7 linked regions of the Xenopus tropicalis genome follow. The protein of the gene in region 1 interacts with the protein of each later gene in a pairwise test. Links are inferred from orthologs where the notes say so. Each region holds a gene or a part of one and is shown in the gene's direction. Other genes may lie near its edges.

The links.
Region 2: the proteins of tnik (region 1) and cnksr2 interact in a two-hybrid assay, tested with the Homo sapiens proteins (2 studies listed by BioGRID and IntAct). The link is inferred for Xenopus tropicalis from reciprocal best matches to the Homo sapiens genes TNIK and CNKSR2.
Region 3: the proteins of tnik (region 1) and nefm interact in a two-hybrid assay, tested with the Homo sapiens proteins (2 studies listed by BioGRID and IntAct). The link is inferred for Xenopus tropicalis from reciprocal best matches to the Homo sapiens genes TNIK and NEFM.
Region 4: the proteins of tnik (region 1) and dpysl3 interact in a two-hybrid assay, tested with the Homo sapiens proteins (2 studies listed by BioGRID and IntAct). The link is inferred for Xenopus tropicalis from reciprocal best matches to the Homo sapiens genes TNIK and DPYSL3.
Region 5: the proteins of tnik (region 1) and actg1 interact in a two-hybrid assay, tested with the Homo sapiens proteins (2 studies listed by BioGRID and IntAct). The link is inferred for Xenopus tropicalis from reciprocal best matches to the Homo sapiens genes TNIK and ACTG1.
Region 6: the proteins of tnik (region 1) and gse1 interact in a two-hybrid assay, tested with the Homo sapiens proteins (2 studies listed by BioGRID and IntAct). The link is inferred for Xenopus tropicalis from reciprocal best matches to the Homo sapiens genes TNIK and GSE1.
Region 7: the proteins of tnik (region 1) and golga4 interact in a two-hybrid assay, tested with the Homo sapiens proteins (2 studies listed by BioGRID and IntAct). The link is inferred for Xenopus tropicalis from reciprocal best matches to the Homo sapiens genes TNIK and GOLGA4.

What each region holds. Positions count from the first base shown.
Region 1 is NC_030681.2:111,604,333-111,607,832, forward strand, and holds part of tnik (TRAF2 and NCK-interacting protein kinase), read left to right. Parts: intron 1-186; coding exon 187-273; intron 274-2,369; coding exon 2,370-2,561; intron 2,562-3,500. UniProt on the Homo sapiens protein: Serine/threonine kinase that acts as an essential activator of the Wnt signaling pathway. Recruited to promoters of Wnt target genes and required to activate their expression. May act by phosphorylating TCF4/TCF7L2.
Region 2 is NC_030678.2:44,236,940-44,240,439, forward strand, and holds part of cnksr2 (connector enhancer of kinase suppressor of ras 2), read left to right. Parts: intron 1-1,825; coding exon 1,826-2,351; intron 2,352-3,500.
Region 3 is NC_030679.2:127,631,092-127,634,860, forward strand, and holds the end of nefm (neurofilament medium polypeptide), read left to right. Parts: intron 1-1,111; coding exon 1,112-2,693; 3' UTR 2,694-3,269; downstream 3,270-3,769. UniProt on the Homo sapiens protein: Neurofilaments usually contain three intermediate filament proteins: NEFL, NEFM, and NEFH which are involved in the maintenance of neuronal caliber.
Region 4 is NC_030679.2:43,705,197-43,708,696, forward strand, and holds part of dpysl3 (dihydropyrimidinase-related protein 3), read left to right. Parts: intron 1-278; coding exon 279-435; intron 436-3,500.
Region 5 is NC_030686.2:28,628,393-28,632,362, reverse strand, and holds the start of actg1 (actin, cytoplasmic 2), read left to right. Parts: upstream 1-1,170; 5' UTR 1,171-1,255; intron 1,256-2,629; 5' UTR 2,630-2,636; coding exon 2,637-2,759; intron 2,760-2,848; coding exon 2,849-3,088; intron 3,089-3,373; coding exon 3,374-3,812; intron 3,813-3,970. UniProt on the Homo sapiens protein: Actins are highly conserved proteins that are involved in various types of cell motility and are ubiquitously expressed in all eukaryotic cells.
Region 6 is NC_030680.2:64,862,414-64,864,864, reverse strand, and holds the end of gse1 (genetic suppressor element 1), read left to right. Parts: intron 1-278; coding exon 279-382; intron 383-770; coding exon 771-905; 3' UTR 906-1,951; downstream 1,952-2,451.
Region 7 is NC_030682.2:60,998,364-61,001,863, forward strand, and holds part of golga4 (golgin subfamily A member 4), read left to right. Parts: coding exon 1-7; intron 8-245; coding exon 246-321; intron 322-710; coding exon 711-814; intron 815-1,471; coding exon 1,472-1,558; intron 1,559-2,066; exon of another isoform or gene 2,067-2,193; intron 2,194-3,500. UniProt on the Homo sapiens protein: Involved in vesicular trafficking at the Golgi apparatus level. May play a role in delivery of transport vesicles containing GPI-linked proteins from the trans-Golgi network through its interaction with MACF1. Involved in endosome-to-Golgi trafficking.

The sequences.
Region 1 (3,500 bases):
AAACACTGGGCAGCATTGTATAAATGTATGGTTTAACATGAATTTATCTCTCTAACTGGTGTACTCTCTGCTCTGAATACCCGCTATGTTTCTTTCTTGGTAATTGGTGTCTAAGGTACTAACAATTCTTTTGCTCAATCACTTCTTTCTCCTCGTTTCTTTCTCTTTCACTGCTGCACAACCCAGGAATACATAAGGCGACAATTAGAGGAGGAGCAGAGGCAGTTAGAGATATTGCAACAGCAGTTACTGCAGGAGCAAGCTCTACTTCTGGTAATGGGAGTCATTCCCCAGTTCATTCCTGCCATTGTGTGTTGCATTACCTACTACTTCTTGGTCATATGTCCAAAGTTCTCATCTTTCAGAACAAGTGCCTTGCATGTTGTTGCACTCATTAAAATACTTTGTACCAATATGTTTCATTAAAAATAATACAGAGAGGATCTTCTTCATATTAAAATAGGTTTTCATGATTTGGAACTAAAGGGTTTTTTTCGCATTAGATTTTTACAATACATTTGTGTCTTTTTTTTTTCCTATAAATGTGATAGCATGCCAGAGTGCCATAATCCTTTCAGGGAGAGTCACGGTGATCTAAATGCCCCTGTACTAATCACTATTCTTCCAGAGTATAGTGGCCATTTAATGAATTATAAATTCAGGCATTTTCACTTTCTGCTAACATTTGTACTACTGCAACATTTGCTTAATATATTTCCTTAAATGGTCAGGTCACCCGATAATGACAGATGAATAGAACAATAAAATATATTCGTAACAACTCAAATCTAAACTCGAGATTAGTCCGCTTTTTGGTTGTCAATGATCCAAACAAGCATAATATATATATATAATATGCAGAAATGGGATTGTCTTCTGCATGTTGTCTTTTTGTTTGGTGATTGCTCCTCCATGCTCCTATTATATATAGTGATAACACAAACAAACTATATACAAATATACAAACCAAATATATTAAATATAGTGAGAAGGATTGGTTCCTCACAGCACAGACCCCTTCACCCTTCAAAAAGCAGGTTATCTGAAGCTTGGAGAAAGCAGGTTTCAATGCCGTATATATCAAAATGAAGTCAGAAATTATTTGCATTGCTAAAAATGCTCCCATGCGCTACGTAGTGGTAGTTATGAGAATAGTATCCAAGCAGGAGAAATAGGAAGCCAAGTTGGGAAATAATTTTGAATATTACAAACCATAGCTTATCTGAAAGCAGTTTTATTGTTTAGTGCAGGCTCAGGCACAATGACCCTAGATGTCTGCCTACATATTACTACTAAAAATACATTATTGGTTCAATAATGACATTTCTTAAAAGTGAAAATGAATTATTTGCAATGTAAACAGTGTAATTTAGTGAAAAAACTATGCCATAAAAATCACTTTAATAAAGTAGGGCCAGGCTAACAGATTTGCAACTAAAGGCAAATGAATCATGTCTAGAAATAAGTTTATTCCTTGCGCATTGCCATTGCATGTAATTATGGCTTGTAAAGCCTTGGCCTGCAAGGTAATGGAATGCTGTGTAGCCTTTTGTTCAGCAAAGCTGTCAGTTGCTGTTGTGCCTCACAAACCCACACCTTTGTTCTCATGAAGCAGAATTATGGCTGTTGTGCTCCCTAGGAGAGCTGTGCTCGCTTTAGGCTTTGCAGAATTAGCATTGAGCAAAAGGACTAAGGATGCTTCAGTGGTTCTTGCATAGCCGCGTATGACTTGGCGGGTTGTTCATATGCCGTAGGCACACCATTCCTCTGCCAACAACAGCAATTATCATAGATGGGAAGTCAGTGGGACAAACTTATTATACGTATCCAGCTGAAATCACCTTCTTTGATATCAAAGACTGTTACCATCCTGTTACGTCATTAAAACGATTTGTGAAACAAAATGTTCTTTTTTCCTGTTTATTTAAACCCACATAACATCCCAGTTTTACTTACAATGGAAATAATGTAGCTGGTTTTAAATAAGCCTTTATTAAAAACCAAGTCGTGAATTGAAAACGTTTTAACTTCACCTTTTAAGATAACACCCTTAAAGAATTTCTTATGCTTTATTGGAGAGGCCACTTTTTTGTTTATGTTGGAGCAAGTCTGAGTGTAGTTTGCTTTCCAGGCTAACTTGCCACTGTTTTTGCATTTTCTCCACAAAGTTCAGATTCCTACCTTTTAAATACTTTCTTTTTATTTTCACTTGACATCCTATAATAAGGTCAAACATCTTGGCATTCTATTTTGTGGAGAAAAACAAACCTATTCAGAAAAGTCTCTGGTGGGTTGGTTGCAACAATTAGAAATGGGCCAAAGAGTCAACATCTGCCTTGTGACTGATTTTTACCTACCTTTCCTTAAAGGAGTATAAGCGTAAGCAGTTGGAAGAACAGAGACAAGCAGAGCGACTTCAGAGACAGCTTCAGCAAGAGCGAGATTACCTAGTTTCTCTCCAGCAACAACAACAGCAGCAACAGAGGTCATCTGAGAAGAAACCACTCTATCATTACAAAGAAGGGCTAAACCCTGCAGAGAAACCAGCATGGGCAAAAGAGGTATGGCAGCCATTGTGCCCCAACTGGGCTAACAGAACTCAGCATGAAATAGTAACATAATTGCTTGACCGATTGGGTGTATTTCAAGTATTAATAATTTTTGAATGTTTCATCAATGTTTATTCTTTAATAACAGGCTGGGTAGGATTCAGTGTGACTGTAACTTACACAGCTCCAAACCTAGAATGTAGGCTGACATCATGTACTGCAGATACTGGTTAGTATTAAAGTGCTGAAAATACTCCCTCTGTCCACTGGGGAGCGCTGGGTACCTCTGTAAGATTAAATTCTCGTTGGACATCAATTACAACTTGCTGTATTTGATTTAATGGCCATGAAGAATACAAATGAACATTTTAAAGCTGATGAATGTGAATTAAATATTTTAGATTATTTCTAGTAGCATCCGAAAGGTAAGGAAAGTATTTAACCTAAACAAAGCCTTGTGGGGGGAGGGTCATTGTGTTCATATATCAGAAGTTTTGCTTTTAGCTTTTTGATGTTGGCGTTAGGGTTGACTGATGGTAGCTCAATGAGTTCCTTATACCTAACCATCCTTGGATCTTTGCATCTGTAGTATGCCATAGGGTCCACTTGATTTTTAAATGTATACTTGGGGGAGTAAATGCTTCAAGTCCCTGCTTGGGTATATATAGCAGAGGTCAATGAAGAAGGCAGATCCTAGCAAGGTTATGAGGAATTACTCCTTCCAAAACCCTTGAATACGTTTTATTTGAAGGAAAAATAAGATAGTCTCTGTGGAATATTATTTCTTAATCAGGAGTTGAAGAGATGAAAGGACAATTTTTTTTTTTTTATAAATGCCAAAATATTTTACATTTTAGAAAAATTGTGATGCAGTCACAAGTGAATAAACCCTCTCATTATAAGTGTTCTGAATAGGAGTCCTCTGTATTTATTATTTTAAATTATCTCCTC
Region 2 (3,500 bases), on another chromosome or scaffold:
GAAAAAAGCTTTAGCTCCTAGTTGTTGCTCTGTGCTGCAACCAAATACAATTGTAGAAATCCAAAAAATAGGAAAAAAGCTTCAGCAGGTTTACTGCAAAACATTTATTGTGGGTAGTGGTAACACAACATGTTTCGGATCAATACCCTTTATCAAGTGTATTATTTTAATAACTGCCTGAAATACAGTCTGCCTCCCAGTAATTCAAAGAAAGAAACTCCCTAACCATTTTGCCATCTCAGAATCTAAGTGCCAACCTGTTCTGATGTATATTTTATAATTTGCTAAATGTGGTTTCTTTGTTTTTCTTGTTTTCCTACTTTTGAGCTTAAAACCATCACAACACTTATTGCAGAAAATGATCATGCTACATAAATACTGAAACTAGGGATCTACATATATATCCTGACACGTCTCAGTATTATTCCACTATTCTTTGAGATGTGTAGGATGAGTAAAACCACAGAAATGTTTCCTACGCTCTTGTATATCATGTACAGTTCTAAATCTGCAATTATGCTCTACAGCGATTCATATCAGTATTTTACATGTATTTTACATTTGCTTTTTTACTTTATTCAAAACCCAAAAGCATACAAAAAGATTATTATATAACATGAACATTTTTTCACTGAAATGAATTAATTTATACTGACAGTGTAATTGACAACCATTACTCCAGAAGTAAAAGATGTAAATATATGCAAGTTCTTAGTTTCCATGGAAACACTGACAGCGCAGTCTACAAAGTAAATTCCTAAAAGCAACAGAAGTGGCACTCAATTTTCATCTGAGAAATAAAAAAACATTCTGTGCTTTGCTGCGAGTTCCTCAAACAATGTTTGCTAATTGTCGGTAAGAGACAAGATAATGTTGGAACCATTACAATACATAAACATTCATTAAACTATCAATCAAGTTCCGTATCTTGTTTTCTCTAAAAATGGAATGTTTTTTTCATACTGCCCTGGCTGTCCAGTTTGTTAAAGCAGTTTTATAGATTTGTAGATTTGCTTTGCATAAAGGAAACTACTGCTTCATTTGGGTTTCTCCTGGGGAAGGACACAACATTGTGTAGCATGTACAGTATACAATACTATACACTATACGGCTGCTCTGAAAGCAAAAGTCCATAAAAATGGGGCTTATGTACAGGTAATGAAATCATGGGAGTGCCTAACTAGCTTGTTACAACTATTGTACATATCATACAAGGACATTGTCAAGGAACTGATCCTTAAGATGATTGAGTTCTCTGCCAATTGAGGCTGCTATAGAATATTCCTTGAACTTAAAGGTTCAGGTATCTTCTATTAAATCAAAAAGAAAGGAAACAATATCTGGAGTGAATTTCTGTTGTTAAAGTTTAGAATACTTCATTGTGATCTTGATGGTATACCTGATGAGTGGAGGATAAAAGAATGGCATTCTAAAACATCTGCCTGAATCTAATTTTTAGTGTATCCAAATTACAGAAAGACCCTTTATCCAGGAAACCCTAGGTCCTGAGCATTCTGGATATTAGAACCCATGCCTGTACATGAATATACAATCTTGGTTCTAGAATTACACATTTTTAGCTTCAGGCTGTTTTTCAACATTCCTGTTGGTGCATTTTTCCCATATAATTCCAAGTTGCTGTTTCCCCACTCACCCCCAAATAGGGAATAGCCAAAGTGTAGCATCCCTTCAGCTGATTTAATATATACATAATATTATTTTATTTTATTTTTTTTAAACCATGATTGTTTTATCATAACTGGAATACAAGTCTATTGGCAGTTCTTATCCTCCCAGGTTTACTTGGTTTTTTTCTCCCCTGTAGATGAGTTGTGCCAGCCCATTTGTGGAACCAAAACACAGGCTGTCTTCCACTGAAACCTCACAGTCCCATTCCTCGCATGAAGAATTTCGGCAGGAAGCAGCTGGAAGCACTACAGATTCTCCAGTAAGAAAAACAGCCAGTCAAAGGCGATCCTGGCAGGATTTAATTGAGACACCACTAACTAGCTCAGGACTTCATTATCTTCAGACTCTTCCTCTAGAGGACTCTGTATTTTTGGAGCCAGCTGTGGTTTCCCCAGATCACAGACGACAGTCAACCCTTCCAGCTCCAAAGTGCCATCTTCTAGATCATTATGGTCCTTTTTCTTTGGCAGAGTGTAAACAATCACAAGCACAAAGTGGTAGTGGGGCAAAACCACGCAGTTTTACACTCCCACGAGATGGAGGCTTGAGCCACTGTGCGCCACTGTCACCAGTGAGTATCCTGGAGCCACTGGAATCCTCGCCGAAACTGGAAACACAAGGTGAAGCAAAATCTGATCAACCAGGGAAAGTTGAAGATGCAAGTAGGTGTTTCTTGTTCTCTTCAGAATATTGTAGAGCTTGAAAAGCAGTTTGGATTTGGTTTTAATGTAGCTCTGTCTATTATGAACCATATTATCACTTTTATAAGTATATCTGGAGTTACAGGCTGCTTTCGCTGAAAATTAAGTGCAGAACAGTATTCCAGAAATCTGTGTCGGTCTCATTATATTGTTTCAGTGGGGGAACTAGAAGTAGAAGTAGTTTATTGCCACCCTAAAATGCAAGTGAGCTATGGATTAGGACTAGATGTAATTCTTAGTGGTGAAGGTAGCAGGAGTCAAATGGCAACATGTGCCATGCCTGTACAAGGATGTCCAGCACTTCTGAATTGCACCTGATTAACTGCAGAAATGGAGCAGAACATATATACAAAAAAGAAGACAATAAATACTGTGTTTCTTTTGATAGAGGACTCAGTGCAGCTTTTCTGTGAGTGCTTATGGTTGTATTTACATAGACCTTTTATTATCCTTTCTGATAAAGCTTATTTAGTTTTCATCTGTCCTTCTTCTTTAAGTCAATCTGTTGTTTTAAGCTGTGTGTTGAGCAACAAAGATTGTGTAGAAACGACAACGTTGGCAAAATAGTGGTAAAAATGTATGAAGCATTACACACTTGTGTTTTTGTTCCTGTTCCTTAATGCACATGTGAGAACCCCTGAGCAGGGCTATTAATGGTGACTAGTGATGAATGAAATTTTTTGGCAGGTTTTGCCGCAAAGAATCTCCCATAGATTCCAATGTTGGGAAAAAAAAAGTTGCATGAAAAAACACTCATTGACTTTAAAAAATTTTGCAAATTTTTTCTGTTTCGCAAATTGTCCTGTGAAGCTAAATGGGACAGATTCACTGATCACTAATGGTGACTGATATATGATTACCTTGCTGTGAATCAGGAGACTATTGTGATTACAAAGGAAGGTCTTTAATCAACTTTCATCCAGGGAAGATAACATTTTATTTTCTTGATACAATTTTTGGACACCCATTCGTTTTCATTTTTGCTTTTTATTTTTTCAATAGTGATTTTTGTTTAGGGCTTTTCATTTAAGCCTTTAACCTGCATTGGCAAAAATTTTTTGCAGTTTTTTGGTAATTTATTTTATTGGAAACTCCAATGACAGTCTGAAA
Region 3 (3,769 bases), on another chromosome or scaffold:
AGAGGATGATTTGTGTTTAAATCTTGGGTCAGACACATTCAGCATGGAGCCCCTTTCTAAGTGACCCATCTCCTAAAGCGTTAGGAAGCCACCCTAAACATTATAGAATTGTTTGAATGGAGACTGGAGCTATTATAAATATACACTAAATTGTACTGGATAGTGTTCATTATTTTTGTTTCAGCTGTTTAAATATGTAATTCAACTTGATATTATTTCTCCTGGCTGCAACCAACGCACTCATGCTGTGAGCCGCTGACAGATTTCCTCCCCCCCCCCTCTACTTGGCTCATTCCAGCATGAGTCGGCAGTTTGCCATGTGTTTCTGACACTCAGCATGGTTAGCTTATTCACAGCATGGGAAAGGCACAGCAGCAAACCTTTTATATCTCAAAAACTATTAGAAAAAAAATAATAAAACCAATTTGTGAAAAAATATACATACTCACCCATTACAGTTTAGTGGACTCTTTATAAAAGCATTAGTTACCCTTTAAGTTAAACAATTAAGGTGTGAGTGAGGGCCATCCCTTTGTCCTGATGCACCTCCCCCATTTTACATAACATTTAGGTGGTTTTTCAACGTGGGATGTGAACTGAGAACATTTGCATTTTTTTATTATAGTTACCACAATGGATCACTATCATAGTGTCTGAAAGTCTAGAGATGCCCAGAATGTAGAATTCAGTTAAGAATTCCACCATAACCCAGAATGTGCAGAATTTAGCCAAATGCTTAGGGGGCAGCCAGACTGAATTCTTAAGATTATGTGTAATGATTGCAAGGCATTGTAAGTGGTGCATACTAAGAAGAAAGCTGTTACTACTGAGTGAGTAAAAGATGCTGAGGGGAGGGAGTGGGGGCAGAATGGTTGTAGGTTTAGAGTGGCGAACCAGAGGCGCACTTGGCAATGTTAATAAATATCTCATGAGGCAGGGAAACGAAGAGCGGTGGGATAGAGGGGACATATATATATATAATAAGGGTTAATCTTTCCCATCTCAATAATAAGGAGGGTTGTGGGTTCTATAGTCTAGTGTGGGAGATTCAATTTGATATCCATGCAGTGTGTAACATTAATTGCATTTTCATCTTAATTTCTTCTTTTAGGAAACTTCTGGAGGGTGAAGAGACCCGGTTTTTCTCATTCGCTGGTGTCCCTACTGGACCCTCCCCTATTCACAGGCCAGCCCCAATAATAGTGTCCTCCACTCGGGTGCAACAGGCACGGTCAGAGCCACCAAGGGTGAAAGTGCAACATAAATTTGTAGAAGAGATTATTGAGGAGACAAAGGTTGAGGATATGGAAGCAGCACTGGCTGCTATGGCAGATGATTTTGCCGCAGGTCTTGTAGAGCAAGAGGAAGAAGAGGAACAGGGAGAGGAGACACAAGAGGATGAGGGAGAAGCTGAGGAGGAAATTGTAGCAGCTGTAGAAAGTAGTGTTCAAGCTGCTGCTCCAGGAGAAGAGGCAGAGGGAGAGGAGGAAGAAGAAGAAGAGAAGGTAGAGGAGGAGGGAGAAAAGGAAGAGGAAGAAAAGGGAGAAGAGGGGGAAGAAGAGGGAGAGAAAGTAGATGAAGAAGAAGAGGGGGGAGAGCAAGGAGAGGAAGAAGATGTAAAAGCAGAGGAAGAGAAAGAGGAAGGAGAGGAAGAAGCTGAGGGAGAAGAAGCTAAGGCAGAAGAGGGGGAGGAAGAGGGTGAGAAAGGAGAAGAGGAGGAGGAAAAAGAGGAGGGAGTAGAGGAGGAAAAAGAAGAAGGAAAAGAGGATGAGGAAAAAGAAGAAGGAGGAGAGGAGGAGGAAAAGGAAGAGGTAGCAGCAGAGGAGGAAGGTGGTAAAGGAGAAACTGAGGAAGAAAAAGGGGAGGCAGAAAAGGAGGAAGAGGCAGAGGAAGCAGAGGGGGGAGAAGAGGAAGCCACTGAGGAGGCACATGATGAGGAAGTAGTGGAAGAGGTTATGACAGAGACTAAGATTGTCAGGGAGCAAGCAGCAGTGCAGGAAAAAGCAGCTGAGGAGGAAGAGAAGGAAGATGCAGATGAGCAAAAGGATGAAGGCGAGGATGAGGAGACAGGGGAAGGTAAGGAAGAAGCAGGGGAAAAAGAGGAAGGGGGAGAGGAAAAGGAAGACGCAGATGAGGGCACTGAGCAACAGGAGGAAGAGAAGGCAGAGGCAGATGAGGAAGAGAAGGGAGAAACTGAGGAAGGAGCTGAAGAAGAAGATGCTGGAGAGGACAAACAAGCAAAAACTCCAGAGGAGAAAAGTGTTGAAGAGACCATCTCTGTGTCCAAAGCTGCATCTGTAGGATCCGAAACAGAAGGTACCAAACAGGAGGAAGAAAAAAGTACCCAGAGGGATGATGGGAAGGAAGATACAGCAGTGAATGGAGATGTGGAAGAGGAGGAAGCAAAGGAAGAGAGTGAAGACAAAGCTGTGGTCACCAATGGCCTAGAAGATGACAGCCCGTCAGAGGATAAGGAGAGCAGCAAGGCCCAGCAGACGGTAGTCATCACAAAAAAAATAGAAACCACAACAAGTGAAGGTGAGGATGGTACAAAGTACATCACCAAGTCAGTAACAGTCACAGAAAAGGTGGAAGAGCATGAGGAGACTGTGCAAGAGAAGATGGTGTCCACTAAGAAGGTGGAGAAGGTCACTTCACATGCAGTAGTCAAGGAAGTTACTGAGGACAAGTGAGATAAAATGTATAGCAATTCCAGCAAGCAGCAGGACTGAACAAGCCATAAGATAAACTGCATGAAAGTGACAGCTTCTAATGGGCTTCTAGCAGAAGGGGGTTCTCTCGTGGGTTGGGGGCTCCAGACACTGTAATATTACTTTCTGTGCAATATTTGTGGGGAAAAAATGCATGCAAGCTCCAGGTGTGCCCCTCCCACACAACTTGGGGAATTTACATAAAAAAAAAATAAAAAACCCAAAACAATCAACTGCATGATATGTAACTGAAGAGGACGTATTTGGGGGTTTCCTAAGTTGCTGTGGGCGTGGGCTGTGGTCCAAGCAATGCATAGCTGGGGGTCTTCAGCTGAATTATGCAAAGAACCAACTGAGCCAAATAAAAGGGGGTAGGGAGACCATGAAACGGAAGTTTTCTCGCCTTAATAAAAGAAATCTATCCTTATGTTTACCTCACTGGTGCAATTAATACAGACTGCAGGTCATGAGAGAACCTAGGAGAATTGTGACACAACCTGTTGATGGGTTATGTAGAAGTGAACCTTGCTCAATAAAAAGGTTATATTGAAAATCTCATTCGCATGTGTCATTTGTCTGTACATTTCATGGGGCGTCTCAAGTACCAGTACAACCCATTAACCTCCATTTCCTAATTGCTTTCCCTCACAGGGGGGTCCAGGTTCCCCAGTCGTTGCCAAGCTGTAAGGTGGGTTGGTGGGATTCCAATTTATACAACTTGTGTTGAACACATGTCCTTCCTGTTCATTCAGTTAAAAACAATGATGTTTCTTTGTATATTAAAAGCTAAATGCTTTGTATTTAATCTAACTTACCAGTGAAATCTCAGTCTGTGAGGCAGGAGAAGGTATTGAAGAACAGAGTTTGATTCCCTACTAGGCATCTAGGGAGCTTCTACATCACTGCTTTGCTTGCATTTTGTTTGCATGGGAACCATCCCATAAAGGGGAAATCTACCCAAAAAGAACTTAAGCATATAGAAAAGCAAACACAATTTCAAGCAATTTTGCAATATACATCAATTGAAAAATATGCAGCTCTTTTATGATTTTTAATAA
Region 4 (3,500 bases), on another chromosome or scaffold:
TAATCAGTCACTGGAGTCAAGTTAAAATCAAAAGGAAAATAACTAAACCTCTTTTTAAGAAAGACATCTGACCATATTAAAAATTATTGAAAGAATAGCAATCTGTGCCATTGGCATTGCCATTCATGCCATTCAGCATGTACAAGCACTAAGCCAATAAGGCACATAATGTCTTAATTGCAGCTGTAATCATGTAGAATTTGGGCAAATAAATGTTAGAGGTGAGAGTAAATTCCATTTGTAAAAAAAAAAAAATATTTACATTTTCTTATTTTCAGGCTATGTTGTTTTTGGTGAACCAATCACTGCCAGCCTGGGCACAGATGGAACACACTATTGGAGCAAGAACTGGGCTAAAGCAGCTGCATTTGTGACATCACCACCTCTGAGTCCAGACCCAACAACCCCTGACTACATTAACTCCCTCTTGGCAAGGTAAAAGGGGCTGCTACCATTGTAAAAGTCCTACCATTAAATCTTCAGAACTATTTTTCCTCTTGATTAGAGGGGCTTTCATCAATTCATAGCAACCATGGGTCAGTAATATGTGTATACAGTGAATGCAACCCAAGCCGTCATGCAACCCTGTCTGTTAATGCCCTTTACTATTCATAGGACCAGTGACACTTTAATGTTTCTCTTTTTCCCGTACAGACACTGCTATGTTGTACATACATTGCCATGTTATGTTGAAACTCATATTAAACTTTATCTATGTAGAGTGCTGGGGAACTGTTTTTTAATCTCAGCTGTTGGCAGTTTCTCTCCATCTGGTACAGATTAGTGGACACATTTTATTGTGCATGGTCTCTATCCATTAGTGGCTAAGATAGACTGAAAGCACACAGGGCTAACCAGTTAGGATTAAATATGTGCAGAAATATTTCTTCCAAAGAAGGATGGAAGCAGGGCCCATAGGTGCACTCTGCCCAGTACACACAGGTATTTTTCTTTTAGCAGTTTTATTTACAGATATAAAAAGGGGATTATGTTTTACTGTATTAAAATGTATATTCACATTCAAATACATTCTGTTGTATTCTAGTTGCTAGTATCACATTAACCCTAGCAACCGATTTCAGGCCAGATATCGGTCGGGCAGGCCCATTAGTAGTGCCCATACACGGGCCGATTGGCTGCTGAATTGGTCTAAGGGACCGATATCGGCAGCTAGAATCGGCCCGTGTATGGCCACCTTTAGTTGCATCAGTATAGTAACCACCAATCAGCAATTTGCTTTCATCTCACTAGTGTAAAGCACACAGCAAAGTTAAACTGGCCATACACATTACAATTACAATCTTTCCTGTGACCACAAGATCGTTGGTACCCTCCATAGACGTTTAGGGCTGAATTGTCAGATATGGAGGAAGAAACAATAAGAATTCTACCCCTATCTGATGATTCAGCCCTAAACGCAACCGCCCGATCAAAATCTTTAGTCCTGCCCAGTTGACGAGACGACTGATATCTGAGGCTTTTGCTGATATTGGTTATCTCGTTGATCCACCGAAATTTCAGCCTCTTCAAACAGAGTCGACAGCTTATCTGCCGTGTATGGGCCCTGTTCAATAAATATTGTATCTAGTCGAAAATTGGGCATTTATCTATCGGACAGGTTTAAAAATCATGTAAGGATGGGAACATCATTGGTCAGCACTGCCGCTTAATATGTTCCAGTAGTTTGACCCTATAAGCCCAATACCATCCAAAACAAGGTGGCCATATTAGGCAAAGATCTGCTCGTTGGGAACCCTAGCCAAACAACTGAATCTGGAGATGGTCATCTCACACCTTTAAAGTAGCACACTTTTATTAAATACACATTTTGCAAGTTCAATGCATAACTTCACATAATTCCTTGAACCTTGCATCTAACTTGCATCATGAGTATTAAATGAGTGTCCTACTTGAAAGTTGAGTTAATAACCCTAACCATACACATTGACCACTGGGCTATTAATTCAGTTATGTATATGGTCAGGGTGGGCAGAGAAATTAAATCACTATAGAGCTGAGACATCAGCACACTACACTGGACTGTGACAACATACATGTACCACTGTGAGGAATCAGCTCTCATGGGACTGGTAAAGAATTGAATCATTCTACAATAATGCATGAATGGGTTGAAGGGGACATCGACAGCCTGAAGCTCTGAATGTTTGGCTGCTAGTGGCCAAACTGGAGGCTCTTGTGTTCCTTACATATTCAGCTGTAGAGAATTAAAAATAAATCCTGATTGGTTGCTCTGGGCCTCTGCCGTGTAACCATTTATCACCTGTGCTTTTAAATGAGCCCCAGCGGGCCTTGATAGCTAAGACAGGCAGTCCTTCTTATCCAGTACTGCTTTGTATGTAACTGCCATGTTGCCTCTCTGCTATTAATATTAAAGCACAATGTAAAGTGTGTTTTCCCTCTTACTGTGTTAAAGGCAACTCATGTGGTTTTGGGTCAACTGCAATTACTTCGTTCTTTGGCTTTAGTGTAAATGACATCACTGTATAATGTCATTCATAGTGAGAAAAACAGGCAGACGGGATGGTCCTGTGGGAGCTCAGCGTGATCTATTGTTTGTCAGCCGACATCTGATACGGTTTATCGTTAGCTTGGAGTCCAGCTGCATGAATTGGACTGGGCTGTACACATAGTTAGTCATGTTGTAGGATTGCTAGCTGTGCCCCTCTCCCATCAGCCTGAGTGACACTATATATCACTGCCAGATTTTTAATCAACAATTGTATATTGTTCTGTTAAAAACATGCTGCAGTGCTATTGTTTGACTAAAGCTGCAACCTGCATTTCTCTGGCTAAAATACAACTCCCTACAGCTGCTGCTTGTCAGGGGCTTCTGGGAATTGTAGTTCAACCACAGCTGGAGAACCACAGGTTGTAGATCCCTGCTATATGTCAAGGGAATGGCAGAAGTGTTTACTACAACACAAGTCATTAGAGAAATAATCCTTTGGTTGTCAAGAGACATTAAAGGAGACATATCCTATAAAAATTAAGAATGTACCAGTGAATTGTACTCCTCTAAATATAGAAGGATTGTGCTTTAAAAAGTTGTGTTTCAGACTGATTTATTGAGAAATTCCACAAAAACCCCACTAGCCCCGCCCATCTGTTACACTTCCTGCTGGCTGAATTCTCTGGATGAGCTGGGGAGCCGGCGGCCCTCCGTACACTGCACTGTAGGATAGGAACCAATCAGCAGCTAGTATGACCTGATAGGGAACTGAAGCCTGTCTGTGCTTGTGTGAGTGCAGGGCTGTGATTGGCTAGTCCCCCTCTACCTGTGCTTCTGGCAGGGACTGTTAGGACACGCCCACTCTTCATTTCACACTGGACAGAGAAGTGATACAATCTATAGGGAGCTGCAATAAAGGGGCCATTTTTACAGAGAGGATTCATTTTTAGCACAAAGTGAAACCAGCACCATATATTATTCATAATTGCCTACAAAATTAGGGTTTTTCCCATTTATCCAATATGTCCTT
Region 5 (3,970 bases), on another chromosome or scaffold:
TAACGTACCATGAACTTTGTTTCACCATAACAACATTTTCTGCATGAAGCCAAACACATGACTGTCACTATACAGGATATTCTGCAAGTAAGCTTCCCTCTAACAACTGCTGCAATTCCTAAGCCATTCCCTCTCTATATGTGTAATGTCTATTCCAATTTGTTCCGAACATCTTTAATGAATCTGTCTTTATAATCTGGCAATGTACCCACCAAGCAGCCCTTGCCTTCAGGGATTGTTCTTTAGAAAGTTCTGTTTAAGGTAATGTGACATGCAAGACTGAGCTCACTTCCCAGCAGTCCCACCCTGAATGTATTCCTTCCATCTTAGCCCTAAAGGGAGAATGCTCAAGCACCTGAGGCTTCAGAGAATACAAAATAAAGCATTTCCCAGCAAGGTACCTAAAGGGGGTATGTAGTAGAACCACGCCCTTTAATATCCTGTCTATAGGCAATCCATGCATTTGTGTTATATCTATATAGGGTTTAGCCCATGTATCACTTAGCACTTTATTTACAAAACTCCCTGGGCTTGGAATTCGACCAGATCCCACTCTAATTTTAGATAAAGAAATAAAAATAAAGTTTCAAGGATGTAATGTGTTCCTATTGGGTATACTGTAGGAAAATGCACACCCTCTGTATAAGGACAATGAAACACCTAAGGAAAAAAACATGACCTTAAAAGGTATTTCCATCCTTCCCTTTGGCCATAGTGGCACCACGCTCGCCTGCTATTGTTAACTACGCTTCCCAGCAACCTCCGCTACCCCAGTAATCCGTATCTCACTGTCCCACCGCATAAGAACTTGAGAGTTAGAAATCCCCGGACTACGATGTTTCCCTGTATTTTACAATACATTTTAGAGAAATGTTTCAAGTAATAGTAACATATATGTGCAAGGGTAGCGGCTTTCCTGCTCTAACACGGCCAGGCCTTACACGCCTCCCTATTGCTCATAAGCGCATGTAACTTCAGGGGTTCCGGGTGGACGTAGGGCCAGGACTCCGGTCCCGCCTCTTCTCCCAACCAAGCAACCAATGGCGAGGCGTGTTTCTGAAAGATGCCCATATTTGGCGATCTTCTGTCTGTGCGGCAGCAGGCGGGGCTGGAAGCCTGTGACGTTAAATAGAGATAACGGCCGCTACTGGGTTCTCATTCAGCCGGTGGCAGCGGACTTGACAGCTACTTCCCGCTCTTTGTAACAACTTGCCAGCTTTGCATTTCTCCTCTTAAGGAAACCTCCAGCACCAAGGTAAGACCTTAGACAATGTCTTACGGCTGTGTGTGGGTGGTGGGCGGAAGAAGTCTTATGGGGTACCGTTGGCCGGGATAGCGTGTGGTAGTGTTCTGTCTATATATTGTTACATGACCGTATTGTCTGTGGCTTGGATATTTGTAAGTCTCCAGTAATGCACGCTTAACTTGTTCTCCTAAAAAGCTGCTGTTGATCTTAATGTGTTACAATGCCCTGCGATATTCTATTTTAAAATAGGCATATTCTATATACATATCTGGCCCTTGTCATACTTCTGGTTACCCTGGGTGCCGAATGATGTTAATATGGCTATGTACAGAACTATATGGCTCTGGTGTCAGTCGCCGTTCGGAGGTGGCTTCCCTCCCTTATGGCTAGAAGTTTGCGCGGGTTTCCCTGCGATAGCATGACGGGCTGCACCATTCTAAAGGGTAGGGGTGAAGCTATTTCTCGCCTCCCCCCCCCAGTTACTTGTATGAGTCACCCCACCTCTGTTGGCCACGCCCACGAGTTTGAAGCTTGTAGCTTTTTGTTTCAGCGGCAGGGCGTGGCTGCTGCATTCTGCTTCCATATTAGGGCAAGAGCTCTGTGATTGGCTGAGCGAGCAGTCAGGGCAGATTTAAACATCACACCAGTTCTAGGGGTGGGGCTGCTGTTCATTAGCCGGTACCGGCTCCTGCGTTGTATAAAGTAAGGGCGGGGGTTAACACTAGGGCGAGTCAGAGAAATCTATTCTATTATGTTTATTTATAACTATATTAAATTAAAGATTCTGCAGTATGGGCAGCTGTTCTTAAATACAAATAACTTGGGTGATTGTGTGCTTTACATCCTGTCATTTTTGTAAATGTTCTATATTGCTTGGATAGCTACACTGTATTGTTAGCCTGACAGCTGAAGTCTTGTAGCCTTTTTGTGTTTTTTTTTTTTTTTTTTTTGTGGTGTGCCCTTTCCCTATTGAGGGGAATAACAGGGCGTGACTGGCTGTACCACTTGCCTCAAGTCTTTAGCCTATGAAAAGGGCTGCCTTAGCCTTTCATTAAACGATTATCTAATCATAGAAGTGTTGATTGTGTTACTATTAATGCTGTTAATCAGCTGTGGGATATTCCCTGTTACCTTGTACAGCTTTCAGTGTACAAACTTTCCACATAATTCATGATTAATCTTTTTACTTAAGAAACAAGTGTTTAACGCTTGTCGCTCATGGTAGGGTGGGGCTGAAGTGGATTAAACGGTTACTATGCCTTACTGTTGGTACACTTGCCTACAAATGGCTTAGCTGTGTACGGAGTGAGGTTGTGGCTACTGACTGAGATAAATAGCCAGTCCCTTATTTTGCTTATGATGATCTGTTTGTTTACCACACAGAAATAAAATGGATGAGGAAATTGCAGCACTCGTCGTTGACAATGGCTCTGGAATGTGCAAAGCCGGCTTTGCTGGAGATGATGCTCCCCGTGCTGTGTTCCCCTCTATTGTTGGACGCCCAAGACACCAGGTATATATAAGTGATGCTTTAATCCTTCATCCAGCAAATGCAGCTTAAATTTTTTTTCTTGGGCTGACTTACTGTTCTTTTTGTTTTAGGGTGTAATGGTTGGTATGGGCCAGAAGGACAGCTATGTAGGTGATGAAGCCCAAAGCAAGAGGGGTATCCTTACCCTTAAGTATCCAATTGAACACGGAATTGTTACAAACTGGGATGATATGGAGAAGATTTGGCATCACACCTTCTACAATGAGCTTCGTGTAGCCCCTGAAGAGCACCCAGTCCTGCTTACAGAAGCTCCCCTGAACCCCAAAGCCAACAGAGAAAAGATGACACAGGTTTGTTTTCAGTGGAAGGCCCAAATACACTTATTTTGGGGTAGTTCTTGTACACTTCATTCTTATTTCTCAAACTCCAATTTTCTTTCAATATTTTCAGGGCTCTGTACCTCTCCTGGCATTTCCCTCCTGAAGTCTCAGGTTTCTGTTTCATTGGTTTATTTCTGCTTGTTCTGTTTTTCTACACATCTATCTCTTTGTTTTGCATGATGGCATGCTGGCATGGTTTGGGGTTCTAACTCGTCTTGATTTTTAGAATTAACATTGTTCTCATGTATCCCTTAGATCATGTTTGAGACTTTCAACACCCCAGCTATGTATGTCGCCATTCAAGCTGTGCTGTCTCTGTATGCCTCTGGTCGTACCACTGGTATCGTGATGGACTCTGGAGATGGTGTCACCCACACAGTACCCATTTATGAAGGTTATGCCTTGCCCCATGCTATCCTGCGTCTGGACTTGGCTGGTCGTGACCTGACAGACTACCTCATGAAAATCCTGACCGAAAGAGGCTACAGCTTCACCACCACAGCTGAGAGAGAAATTGTGCGTGACATCAAGGAGAAACTCTGCTATGTTGCTCTTGACTTTGAACAAGAGATGGCAACTGCTGCATCCTCCTCATCCTTGGAAAAGAGCTACGAACTGCCTGATGGACAAGTAATTACAATTGGAAATGAGAGGTTTAGATGCCCAGAGGCACTCTTCCAGCCTTCCTTCCTGGGTGGGTATCTGTTAAGACGTTGCATTTCATCTGACTAATAACTCTTCCTCCTGAACATCTGGTCTAGGTAGTAGGTCCTGTTTCCACAGTACACTGTATAGTTGCTAAAGGTGACTAAAGTGACTAAAGTGAACCAAGTATAAGTAAGAATGGAACTT
Region 6 (2,451 bases), on another chromosome or scaffold:
GGTGTGGTACAATGCAGGGAGAGTGGGCATCATAATGCAAAGCGTCTCTAATGTAATCGTTTTCTAATGTAACAATATATTATGACTACTCCATGCTATGGCACTTTACTAGTTTGCAGATAAATATAGTTAACAAGCATTCCATATTATTGTGCCTTGCTGTATTTACAAAGATTCAGATGTACATGTTACCACAGCTATGTTTCACTTATGCTCCATAATTACAGTTGCTTATATCTCTTTGAAGTGGGATTAAATTGTACTTTTTTTCTTTGCAGAACAAAACCTAGAACGGCAGGTTCTGGAGAAGCAGTGTAAAAGACTAGAATCCCAGCACTATAACCTGAGTCTGACAGCTGAACAGCTGTCACACCGCATGGCAGTAAGTGATGTCCCTGTCTATTAACTTCTTTTCTCACAGTGCCCCTTACGACTAAAAGCATACTTTGGCGTGCAGTCTTTCTAGCTATTGTTTAAAAAAACAAGCCAGCAGTGTAGTGCTTTTTGTGGAAGGTTTCTCTATGCTGGAAAGGTGCATGGACCATTGCTAAGATAGTTCAGTAGATAAGCAGCGTAATAGAGAGGTGCAGGCAAAATGTTTTCTTTATTCTACTTGACATTGACATATTCTTGGCTCCATGACTGTATTTATTTTCCAGCTGTATATCAGTAAATGCTTCTACAGTCAATGCGATTTATCGGCATTTTGGCCTTTAACATGGTGAGATTCTTGCGTTCAGTCTATTTACACCATGCATCTCTCCCCACAGGACTTGATGAGCCAGAAGCAAAAGGTGGCATCAGAAAGAGAGAGATTACAAGCTGAACTAGAACACTTTAGGAAGTGCCTTGTTTTGCCCACAACGCCGTGGTCTAGAGGATACTTCAAAGGCCACCACAGGTGACATCTTGTCTTGCACTAGGTTTGATCGTACAGTATAGAAATATCTATTTTATTATCTCGATATTTAATATTTTTCACTGGGAGGATTGGGAAACATCATCCTATTTCTGTCACATTCTGCACCACCCTGGGAGAAAAACAAAAAAAACAAAAAAAAAATCCATATATATAAATATATGAATGTGCCATGCATGTCTCAAAGGATTATGAGAGATTGAGAGAACAACCAACCTCAGTCAAGGCAAAGCCGTGGGCATTTTCTTCACCACATGATTTCCCTGTTGGCACCACATCCCATACCAGGGTCCCTCATTGACAGACTTTTGGCTGCATCTGACACTACAAGCAACCTAGTGCACTGTCTGCCCTCTGGACTGTACCAAAGTGGGTGCTTACCTTTCTGAATCCACCCTTCATTGCCATCATTCTTCAACCTGAAACCGCATTGTACTGCTTTATTTATCACGGATTCCTTGTGTCCTTGCCACAGAAAGGAAAAAAAAAAAAGTTTGAAAGTTCTATGACTTTTATGGTATATCTTCTTTTAATCAGAAATGTAATATGCTGAAATTGGAGGTTAAGGACTTATTTCTGTAACACAAAAGACAATTTGTCCACGCAGAGCTTTGCAGCTTGCAATGGGAATGCACTTAAACCTGGATCTCAGATTGGTTGAAGGTACCTTTTATTAAATACCTGTCACATGGTCGAGGTTCTATACTGCAAAGCTGCTACACACCTCCCATAAGCAGGCAAAAGGAAACCGATTGGAATCTAGACATACTGATCAGGTGCTTCAGCCTTGGACTGTATATATTACAAAGTTGTTTTTTTTTTTTTTGTTTTTTTTGTAAGTTTTTATTGCTTTAATTATTGTTATAAAGAAAAAAAACTGCCATTTTCAGCGCTTCTGCATTTTTTTTCAGCCAGAGGAAAATACATGTCTCTTTTAAAGTTGCTATTTAGTGTTTGTATTCTGCTGCTGGTCAGGAATTTATCCTATCAAAGTCTTTTTGAGAAAATTAAAAGTTGGAAAGAGAATTAAAAGTGGAAGGTGTTTTTGCCTGTCACTTGAGTGTTTGGGGTGTGTTACATGAGCAGATTTGCCAGTAAGATGTGCTGATTTTAGGTTGTTTTATGTGTGGTATGTGTCTGTTCTTCTGTACTCACACTGGCCTATTGAGGCAGGCATATTCATGTTCACCCCTCTAAAATCTTAGACTAAATCCAGCCATAGATGGGCTGGTCCCGCATGGTATCCTACTGATTGACCCATGAGCAGGACAGATACTGTACAAGGGGCTGTACACAGTATGGCCAATGTTAAATTGTTCTTTTTGCTGAGTCTAACATCCCTGAAAGATCAGAGCAGCAAAATCTTTGTATTAACGTGGTCAGTTAATAGTTACCAATCGGGATCATCCAGCCACTATACATGCCAAAAACTGTATAATTTTATTGGTATATGTATGGCCAGATTCAGGCAGAGAACACTGTGTGGCAGCTTGTGTGTGTATGTGTAACTGTGGTACAGTGATATAATTAGG
Region 7 (3,500 bases), on another chromosome or scaffold:
GGAGAAGGCAAGTATGCAAAAAAAAAAATACTGTGTTTTGCATCACATATTTTTAGAACAGATGCCAATAGGAAATTTGTGGTTGGAAAAAAAAAAAACATTTTTGTATTCACACAAGAAAAATGGTCACAAATAATAGAAAATGTCCAGAATATGAAAATGTTATGACTGGCAGAAAATAATAATAAAAAAAAAAAAACCTAAAAGGAAAAATAGAAAAATCAAAAACATTCTTATTCCTATAGGTTCACATCCTAGAAGACCAGGTGAAAAACTTTACTCGTGGTGTATTTTATACTCCTATTGGCACACCGTATAAAGGTAGGAATTTTCTTTAAAATCCTTTAAAATTTCTTATTTTTCTTTTCTTATAACTAGGTTTAAGGCACATACTGTATATGGGAATGTATTATAACTTTCTAAGTTATAATATTTCTAAGATACTAGAAGCTTCAAGGCGTTTTTGGAACCTGTTAAAATTTGATGTAATGCTGAGGAAATGAATGCAGGATAGTCACATATTTTCTGGTGATATGCCTGTAATTTCAAGTGCATAAAGTTCACTTTGCAGGCTCCAACACATCATTCGTATGATCTAATAATGCTTATTCAGTTTATTCTGTGGTTACTGATAACAGAAATGTACTAAATGTCATTAAAGTAGTGTAAAATAGTGCTTCTAAATACTCTTGTTTCTTCCCTTCCCTCAGAAGTTAATAATCAACATGCAGGGGTTTCTGTTTTTGGCGAACCCACTGAATTTGAGTACTTAAGAAAGGTGATGTTTGAGTACATGATGGGGCGTGAAACAAAGGTAGGAATATTTTTGTCCTGTTTAAAATAGATGATGTTTGTGGGTTTTCTCATTAAGGCGGGGGCAAGATGTGCAATTATCCTAATCCTTGTATTCTCTGAAATGTTTCCTCTGCCCTTCATTGTCTCCCCCATACACTATTTCACTGTCCTGTACTCTCCTCCCCATATACTCTCTTCCTGACATTTCCTACCCACTTTCCTTTTCTGTATATTGTGCCCTGCACTTTCTCCCACATGTTCTGCCCCTACACTGTCCCCACCCATAAACTGTTTTTTCACTGCTTTGTCTCCCTACACTGTTTTTCTACCCTACATTCTTTTCTCTGTACAGTCTCCCTGCTTTGATTATTCTGCCCCATACACATTCTCCCTTCCCTACACTTTTTCACATATTTCTACTTTTTCTGCCTTGCACTTTCTCCCCATACACTCTTTTCTCATATATACTCAATCTGTGTTGTGCTGTCTCCCACATTCATGCTCTCCTTGCCCCTTGCACCTCAAAGCCCCATATTTCCCTTAATTCCCTGCTATTACTGCCATTTCTGTTTGGAAGACCTATCTATCTGCCAATTTACCTGCAGTGCCCTGCTATCACGTCTGTTTCAGCAAGCCCTTCAGGTTGATGTTCAGTTATAATGTTATTTCCTCACAGACAATGGCAAAGGTAATAACAACTGTGCTGAGGTTCCCAACAGATCAAGCTCAACAAATTTTGCAACGAGAAGAAACCCGACCACTGGTAAGATTCACATTTAAAACAAAAACCCCTTAGTTTTTTTTTTGTTTTTTTGTTTTCTTTATAGGTTTAGCAGACTATTGCACCTCTTTAAAACAAGTATTATAAGCAATTATAAGTAAAACTGTGCAGGACAGTGTTGTGTTTGAAACATTGTCTGTATATCACTAATTTTTATTATTTGTAGTAGTTACTAGTGAAGCGATATAGCCCCATGCTTAAAAGAGAGAGGTTAATTGTATTATTAAGTATCATACATAACATAAAGGAAAATCTCTTTAGCAGGTAACGTGTACTTGCAGGCCAGCTATGGCCATGTCTTTTGTTCATAGATAAAATAGAATACAACTGCCATTTCACTCATATCGACCAGTACCCAGTGCAGGTGAGCCAGCCTTAGTTCAGAAAGTGTCTTGAAAAAGCTGTTAAGAAAGGGCCTGAAGTGGTGTGTAATGTATAAAATATTCGTTTTTGAAGCATGGTTATTAAGCTTGAGAGGGTATTGCTACAGGGATATTAGGAACAATAAAGGAGGGAGAGACAAGGAGATTGAAATTGAGAAAGAAAGAGAAATGGCAAATTAATGGCGACCTCAGGAAATGGTGATAACAAGGACAAAAGAGAAAGCAAAAATAGAAGTAAGTATTACAATAAAGTAAAGAGAGTAAGAGTTAACAAGGGTTTAATCAAAAGCCCATTGCCTTAAATCAGTGCTCCCCAACCAGTGGTTTGTGAGTAACATGTTGCTCACCAACCCCTTGGATGTTGCTCCCAGTGGCCTCATAGTAGGTGCTCATTTTTGAATTTTTGGAATTTCTGGCTTGGAGGCAAGTTTTGATTGCATAAAACTCATTGTAAAGCCAAACAGAGCCTTCTATAGGCTGCCAGTCCACACAGGGGCTATTAAGTAGCCAATTACATCTCTTATTTGCACCCCCAGGAACTTGTCCATGCTTGTATTGCTCTCCAACAATTTTTCCATTTGAATGTGGCTCACAGGTATAAAAGGTTCGGGATCCCTGCCCTGTTGCTTAATTGGGGGAAGAAAAAATGTTTCTGTGCAAACTTTTCCATATAGGCAGAGAAGAGTGACTGTTAGAAATACAAACAATATCTAAAGGGAACATTATTTGCCCTGTTACTTAACTACCATCTAATGCTACTTACAAGTTAATGAGCACCAAAAGAATGAATCAAAGTGAACTGAGGAATTCACTCCTTCAGCTCCAATACAAGCGGAGAAATTGTAACCTCACTGACACGCTGGCATTTTAATGTATTCCTGGATGGAAATTAATATGTCTTCATTGATATATATGAAGGTGGATGCTTACCTGGGGCATTTTAGTTTCTGTTAAAATTTGTGGCAGTAAATATTTACTAAAACTGTTGCATAAAATCACTCATGTGTAGTTGTGTGTGGTTGAGGGCAGTGTCATGGAATAACCCACACCAAAAAAAGACTACAACCAACTCTATAGAAAGGTAATGGAAAAGTCTATAGATGGTCACTGAATATTACAGTTGAACCAGTAAGCAATACTAAAAGAGTAGGCATAGCTGTACATCTAGCAAGAAGCACAAGGTAGACTCTGAAATGGACTGAATGAAGGATATATGGTCCAGACCAGATATGAGCTTGTTTGGCCATTAGACTAAAGCCTGTGTTTGATGTAAGCCACTGTACATCCTCATAAACCTACCATCTTTACAGTGAAACATAGTGCTAGCAGCTTTGTGCTGTGGCACTGCTTTTCTGCAGTAGGCCTGTCATGGTAGAATGAATGCAGCAAAATGCATTAGGATTTCCACCAGGATTATACTGGGTAAGACAAAAGGGGTAATTTCCCCAACCCCTGGGTGCAAGTGCAAGAACACTAAGGGCAACAAGAGTGTATTACAAGACGATGTAGAGAGGTGTGTGCGTGTGTGTACATATATATAC